Mus musculus: one gene and its partner. The protein of the gene in region 1 interacts with the protein of each later gene in a pairwise test. Links are inferred from orthologs where the notes say so. Each region holds a gene or a part of one and is shown on either strand. Other genes may lie near its edges. The genes, in order: Atp10b and Tmem30a.

Evidence for each region.
Region 2: the proteins of Atp10b (region 1) and Tmem30a interact in a protein complementation assay, tested with the Homo sapiens proteins (2 studies listed by IntAct, with this or other methods). The link is inferred for Mus musculus from reciprocal best matches to the Homo sapiens genes ATP10B and TMEM30A.

Annotation. Positions count from the first base shown.
Region 1 is NC_000077.6:43,148,541-43,152,807, reverse strand, and holds the start of Atp10b (probable phospholipid-transporting ATPase VB), read right to left. Parts: upstream 2,932-4,267; 5' UTR 2,856-2,931; intron 1,217-2,855; 5' UTR 1,194-1,216; coding exon 919-1,193; intron 1-918. UniProt on the Homo sapiens protein: Catalytic component of a P4-ATPase flippase complex, which catalyzes the hydrolysis of ATP coupled to the transport of glucosylceramide (GlcCer) from the outer to the inner leaflet of lysosome membranes.
Region 2 is NC_000075.6:79,776,162-79,779,986, forward strand, and holds part of Tmem30a (cell cycle control protein 50A), read right to left. Parts: intron 1,171-3,825; coding exon 1,063-1,170; intron 80-1,062; coding exon 1-79. UniProt on the Homo sapiens protein: Accessory component of a P4-ATPase flippase complex which catalyzes the hydrolysis of ATP coupled to the transport of aminophospholipids from the outer to the inner leaflet of various membranes and ensures the maintenance of asymmetric distribution of phospholipids.

The DNA of each region.
Region 1 (4,267 bases):
CTAGCCTTGTTTCCGCTGCTTTCCTAGTTCACTGACCTGCCTACATTTGTTCTCTTTTGTGCAAAGAGGACATCATATTACCCTATCTACTTTAAAGGGCTTTTAATAAATGTTATGTGATATAAAAATTGGTTTTGCATACACAAAAGGGTTCTGAAGCATAACAGTCGTCAATGTTAGTTACAAATTTTAACAAATCTTGGGATTTTAAGGTAATATTTGATTTATAGTTAATACATGTGCATGTGTACATGTGTGCATGCCAGATGTTGATGCTTGGAGTCTCCCTCAATCACTCTCTACTTTATTAATGAGGAGGGTCTCTTACTTGACTCAGAGCTCATTGATTTCACTGATCTAAACAAGGCAATTTCACTCCGGGGCTCCCTTGTCTCTCTCTGTCTCCTAAGATCTGGGTCTACAGGCAGATAACTTCCCACTTGCCCAGATTATACAGAGGTTCTGGGGATCTGAACAGTCTAGTCCTCATATTTGGCTCAGTGAATATTTACCCCTCAGTGAGTTATCTACCGAGGGTGTCTCTTTATCTTTTCATCCAGTCATGTCTGAATTGTTACTTCTTCAAGGGAGTCTTGGCTGACATTGCTCTGTTTACCAAATTCACACTGTAAAGTACCACATACCTTTCTTTGCAAGTATTTTTTTTTCTAGTTATAGAATTAAGTCAATTTGGCAATTTAAAAATTAATGTATCTCCTTCACTAAATGGGGCAAACAATGAGTTCAGTCTCTTCTTTCCATATATGTTTACTACGCAAACACATGATGTGATAAGTCAACACTTGATAAATGAGAGGAGCTTGTTCCATATGTACATTTGGATATCAAAGAGAACTGCATCATCTCAGCAGCAATGCTAGGCCATGGTATATATTGTTGGGAGACCCAGCTGCATACCTATGAAACTGCTCAAAGAGATTCTGGGGCAGGAAGGTGAGGAGAGTGTACTTGGTTGTACAGATGCTGTTGCCTGGGTACCTCCTGCAGACCTTCTTCCAGTCCTGGTGACACATGCTGTTGTTGGGGTATACGACCCGCTGCTCTGCTGTGTTGTGGCTCTGTCTGTCTGTCTCTGGAGAAAGCAGTGGTGTGGTTTCTGATGGAGATTGGGAGAAGCCATCTTGGGTTCGCCATTTCCATCGGAGCCAAGAAAAGTCAAGAGAGCAAGTCATTTCTGGGATCAGGTGACAATAGTCTGCAAACACACAGGAAGTTGCTGTGATCAGGAGAGCTGAGTGGAATGTGAACACAAGAAGTCACTATGGTAAGGAGGATAATACAACATGGCATCTCTTCTTTTGTACATGTAGAGTTCAATCTTAGAAAAATAGAAAAAGTTCCTGCGATGCATCTGTTTTAAGGTCAGATACATTAAGTAAACAATAAAAAAAAATTATACAACTACCACAAGGATCAGCATTGTGAAAGCAAGTGATGGTGTCAGTGTGGCAGTTGTTGATGACATGGTTGATGATGTCATGGAAAAGCCAAATTGTGGTCTGCAAAGATGGGATGCTAGGAGGCTAAATTTGGCTCATTCTTAACAGTAAACGTTCTCCATTCACCTTGTTCATCTTCAACATAAAAAGAAGAAAGAGGGGCTAGAGAGATGGCTTAGTGCTTAAGAGTGCAGTTCTTACAGAGAACCCAGGTGAGTTCAGTTCCCAGCCATCAGATGGCTGCCAATTACATGCAAATCCAGTTTCAGGGGATCTGATAGTCTCTTCTGGGCTCTGTAGGTACTAGGTATACACATCATATACATACATACATATATACATTCAAGCATGTACATATAGACACATGATATAAAAATAAAGAAACCTTTAAAATAATGAATTGGCTTTTAAAAAATGAAGAAAGCTATTTTTACCATCCTTTGCTCATGTGGTTAATTTAAATTTTTAATGTATATGTATAGATATGTATTTTACCAGCATATTTGTCTGTGTACCATTTATGTGTCTGGTGCCTGAAGAGGCCAGAAGAGGTTATTGGATGTCCTGGAACTAAACTTACAGACAGTTGTTAGTCACTATGTGAGTGTGAGGATTGAACCTAGGTCCTCTGGAAGAATAATCATATTCCTAATACTATCCATGTAGGAACAAATTTGAGAGGAACAAATTGGGAAGTACATAAAATTGTGTTGACATATTTTAAGACAAAATGAGAAATGTTTATATTTTAAATACTTTTTAATTGAATTTTTAAAAAAATTAGTTAACATATGGCTGGACGGTGGTGGTAGACACTTTTAGTTCTAGCACTTGAGAGAGAGAGGCAGGAGGATCTCTGTGAGTTCAAAGCCAGCCTGATTTAAAGAGAGAGTTCAAAGATAACCAAGCCTACACAGAGAAATCCTGTCTTGAAAAACCAAGAACCAAAAATTAAATTAAATTAAGTTAAAAAGTTAGCATACTATGTAATGGGTTTTATTATAACATTTTTATCCATATATGTCAACATGCTTTGTTTTAATTGCTCCACCCACTCTCTCTCTGCATGCCCTATGTACTTCCCCCTTCTGGTCCACTCCTTCTCCCTCCAGAGTTGCCTCCTTCAATTTCCATGTCACATGGATTCCATTACCAAGAGTTCTTTAGTCTTTAGGATTTCTTTGGCTATGAACATTTTAACCTTACAAAATTTCAGAGCAGGACATCAAATGGATGGGTCTGGGGACATAGCTTGTAGGCAGAGTACAAAAAGCAAGAGGCATTGGGTTCCACCAAACATAAACCTATTCCTTAGTTAAGGTTTTACTGCGGTGAACAGACACCATGGCCAAGGCAAATATTATAAAGGACAACATTTAATTGGGGCTGGCTTACAGGTTTAGAGGTTCAGTTCATTATCACCAAGGCAGGAGAATGACAGCATCCAGGCAGGCCTGGTGCAGGAGGAGCTGAGAGTTCTACATCTTCATCTGAAGGGTGTTAGGAGAATACTGGCTTCCAGGCAGCTAGGATGGGGTTTTTAAGCCCACATCCACACTGACATACCTACTCCTACAAGGCTACACCTACTCAAACAGGGCTACACCCTCTAACAGTGCCACTCCCTGGGCTGAGCATATACAAACCATCACAACCTGGTATAGAGGGCATTCGTCCATAATCCCAGCACTCAGGAGACAGGCAGGAGGACTAGCAGTTCAATGTCATTATCAACTATACAACAATTTGAATGGCAGCCTAGTAGGTTTTATAGGTTCTCTCTCTCTGCGTCTCTGTGTCTCTGTGTCTCTCTCCTTTTTCTTTCTATCTTTCTGTTTGTTGTTGCTGTTGCTGGTATTTCAATGAGAATGGAAAGTGGAACAGCGCAGAAAGATACTTTTCAAGGACACCTGGACATGCAGTGACTAGGCTGTGGTGACCACTGCTTGTATCATAAATGTAAGCTGGTCTTTTCTATCATCTTTGTCTTGGGGATTATAATTCCATTTGGTATATCTCACACCTGAGTGCCTGGCCAAGAAGATATTCTTCCTAGATGGCTGATTTGATTGTTACTATATTTGGATTAAGACATGTCTAGGGTAGCAGTTCTCAACCTGTGGGCTGTAACTCCTTTGTCAAACCTCTGATTCCAAAAATATTAACATTATGATTTATAACAGAAGCAAGGTTATAGCTATAAAGTAGCAATGAAACAAACAATTTGTGCTCCATAATATAGGAGTTGTATTAAATAAATGCAGCATTCAGAAGACTGGGAAGCACTGTTCTGAGGGATGCCTGGGCACCGATGGCTCCGGCTCCGGCTTGATGCATTTGCACTGTGACAGTATTATTGTGGGGTGGTGAAAAGTAGGAGGCCAAGCCTCTTTGCAGATAACGTAAGTCTCTGGGCTGTGACTTGTTTTGGCCTCAGCCTGTGTAATCTTCTCTTTTTGCTTCCTATCCATCAGAATAGGAAGAAGAGAGGCTGGGGCCCAGCTCTAGTGGTTTTAGAACCTGAAGGAGGATGTATGGAGTCTGTGAAAGACTTGGACGGAGAAGAGCAGTTCATACACTCTGGCACGGAGACAGCTCAGTTTACCTCTATTCCCATATCTATTTTTTTTCCACAGCTGAAAAGTTTTATATTAATTTTTTTATGAACAACCTCTTTTAAGGACCTCCTACATTTGCAAATAATGTGCACACTGTACTTTTCCCTTCCTTCTCTTCCTCAATCCCTGCTTTTTTCTGGTAACCCATAATCCACTTGGCCTCAGCAATCAGTTAATATTTAACCCAGA
Region 2 (3,825 bases), on another chromosome or scaffold:
TGCTGTTGGCAATAGCGCCACATGGCGCAATTGGTCTGTCTTCATTTCTTCTATAAGGTTCACATTCCTTACTTGGATTCTAGTTTTCAAAAGGAAAAGGAGAGAGAAATTACCATCTAGATCTCTGGAAAAATAATGAGCTAGTCCTAATTACTAATTAAAAATTCTAGCCTTGTATTTTCCTCACTCAGAAAGTATATGATGAGTCTGTAAGGAAACTAAGCTCTAAACACTACATTTAAATACTCAAAATATTCTTTAATATTACAGTACTTTTTAAATAAAATGTTTGTTTACCTGTACATAGCTATATATCACTTATCGATTTAATATTTTTCTAAGTGCTGTGATTACAGGTATGCATCACCATGTCTGGCTGTCTATAGTGTATTGTAAGACATACAAAGGGTCTAAGAAATGAGAAACTAGTCCAGTCTTCAAATGTTTGCCCTATTGACAAGATGACATAAAATACTTATGTACTAAACACCACTATGGAAAGCTCAACAGTCAGGAAATTAGGATACCATCCATGGATTCCCGAATAGAGCATGAGAAAGGGAGCTTGTTACACATAACCTATAGTTCTACTCCTACAAACACATAGAGTAGATTTGAGAATTCTGAAAGCTTTACATTTTTGCTGCTTAGTCTTCCCACAGTGAAAAGTTTAAAAAAACAGGACAGTTATTCAGATTTGAAGCACAATCCCAGAAATTAAAAACAGTTCATCTGCATATCCCCACCTAGCGTAAGAATAATGAATCAACCCCATAAGAACACACTTACACATCTAAAATACTAGACTCATCAAAATCCCATTACAAAGAAATAAAGCCAAACTCCCAAGAAATAAACAGGCAGTAGTGGAATTGAGAAGCTATTTTGTGGGCATTCAAGAAAAAGCATTTTAAATAAAAATTTCTGTTAAAACTAGAAATGACAAGTAATTCTTTAATCTCCTCTAAGATTATTAAGTCCTTAATAACATTTCTGAATGAATATTTACAACACGTTCTTACTTCACAGATAACCACATATCTGTATCTCATCATTACTTACAAGCAAAGCACTAGGGTCTCCATTTAACTGGCTATCATCTCGAGATTTCACGTAGCGACGATGATTTTGATAGAAATTAGACAGTCCATAATACATAAACACATTGCCCTAGAGAAAACAGAAAGGGAAAACCTTTTAACATAAAAGTTAATATTTGTTTTATATGTATGTAAAATGTAAGCAATTTACACTTTACTAGTTTACAATTTATGATAAACAGGTACTGAGGTTAAGTAGCAACTAAAATTGTACAATTAAATATAAATCAACTCACAGTAGAGCAACTATACTCCAGTTCTTAAATTCTCAGGTAAGTTTTAAAAGAAGGGGAAAATACTACCACAAACAAATCAGGTATTGACTAAGTCCAAAGCACACTCTATTAATTGGCTTAGCAAATCTGTTTACCAAGTACTTAGTAAGCACTAGGAGTACAGCTCAGTAAGAGTGTTCGCCTGGCATGAGCATGTGTAAAGCCCTGAATTCAATCACCAACACCACAAAACATAAGCAAACAAACAAAAAATAAAGTGTGCAACTGTAAATAAAGTCCAACTATTTTAAACTTCTCAACTATCCAACAAGTATTGCGTGCAGTCTGGAAGAGATGGCTCACTGGTAAAGAGACCGTAGTGTGAGCATGAGAGCCTCAGTGTGGATCCCAGCACCATCATGCAGCAGTCATCTATAAACCCAGCAATGAAGGGCAGCCAGGGAGGAGACAGGCAGGAACTTTCTGGCTACCCAGTCTAGCTTAAATGAGAAGCTCCAAGTTCAGGGAAAGACTGGTCTCATGAAATAAGGAGACAAAGGAAGACATACACATGTCATACTACACACACACATACACACACACACACACACACACACACCCCACACCACAAAATATTTTCATTAAAAAATAATATTGAAAAATATTAGTGTGCTCTGAGCTACAATATAAAGTTTTACTAATTCAACTTGGTTTTCATCCAATTAGCATCTGCCTTTCAGAAGAATGATTAAACTTTTGATTTATTATCCAAATAAGTTATAACTGGAATGAGAATACACAAATTCAGAAGATGCTATATATACTACTCTTTCCTATTTATTAAAATTTGTTAGTATACCAAATATTTCACAATGATTTACACATAGATTTTACTTTACTCATGACACTTCCTCCTGTCTTGCCTTGGTTCCTTCTGCCCTCCAAATAGTCCCCAGGATACTACAGACTATTAGCAATTAGTAAATTAGTAGTTATGAAAATACACTGTTATATTTTATAATAATAATCAAGAATGGTACTCTAATGGAGGTAACTTCAAATATCTTGGAAAAAAAGTAATAAACATAAACTGAATGAACTACAAGGTGCTAAGAAACCAAATAACTAAACAGGTTTAAAAAAATGTTATTTTCTGCTTTCTGATTAAAACTTCTATTTTTATATTCATATCTTCAATTAAAAGTAATTCTGTACACACAGAAGTTGATTTATTTGATTTGCTAACTTCATAGACATTTAAAGACTGAATATTGACGTGTTCTGGTAGCAGAAGCTTGCAATCCCAGCACTTAGGAGGCAGGTGAAGGATCATTAATTCCAAGCCAACCTGAGCTACACTGCAAGTCTAAGGTCAACCTAGAATACCTGAAATCATGCATCAAACTGTAAATAAATGAATGAAAATACTGTTAAGTAGCAAACAAAAACCTTTTCCATTCTATATAAAAGGTGTTAAAATGGAAATCTTTGGGTGAATTGTATCAAATTGTATGACAAAAACATGATAAATATGTTTAGGAAAAAAAGAATAGCATCTTAATTAAGAACAATAATAGTAAATTCAATCTGTAAACTGAAAAAGGAATACTCTCTACCATTTCTGATACAAAATTAACTTTTAAGTTCCCAGAAATGGTTTTAGTCCAATTAAAAAATCTGTGAAGAAACAGACATACAAAGACAAAATGGCCACTTTAAACAGGCGATCTAAAGCCGGGAGCTTGGTTTGCTTGTTTGCTTGTGTGTTTGCTTGAAGACAGGATTTCTTTGTGTAACAGCCCTGGCTGTCCTGGAACTTTGTAAACTAGGTTGGCTTCAAACTCAGAGAGATCTACCTATCTCTGCCTCCCAAATTAAATGTTTTGAATAGGGAGGAGATAAAGGAACCTCTAACTTTTTCAAACCCTCTCATTTCAATTCTGCACAGAACCAAAGCTGACTGCATCTTTATAGTATGCCCACCACTGCACTTGTCAGTCTTCTCCCAAGCCAGTTTTCATATCTCAGTCCCAAAGAAACATTTACCTTAGTGTAAGAGCATCTATAACCTCTAGATGGCTCCCATCCACCAGAAACTACTAAAGTTATCACTACATATAGAAAATCTGAATGAGGACTCTCAAACCTTGGTATGTATCATGACAGCTTTGTTTCCTGAAGAAGGTCGTTAGGTTCTTTTGTTATTTTTTGGTTTTCTGTAGGCTTGGCTGTCCTAGAACTCGCTCTGTAGATCAGGCTGACCTCAAACACACAGGAATCTGCCTGCCTCTGTCTCCTGGGACTAAAGGCATGCACCACTCCTGAAGAATGTTTTTAAATTCAATTTTCAGGTATAGGGTAAAACAAACTGGTCTCTATCCAAGCCAATTCTGAAATTTTATGTTCTATCCCATATGCTCATTTACCAAAATTAGAGACCAGAACTAATGCCACATAGGCACGAATGTGCATACTCACAACCATACACACATGTGCACACAGGGTAGGGC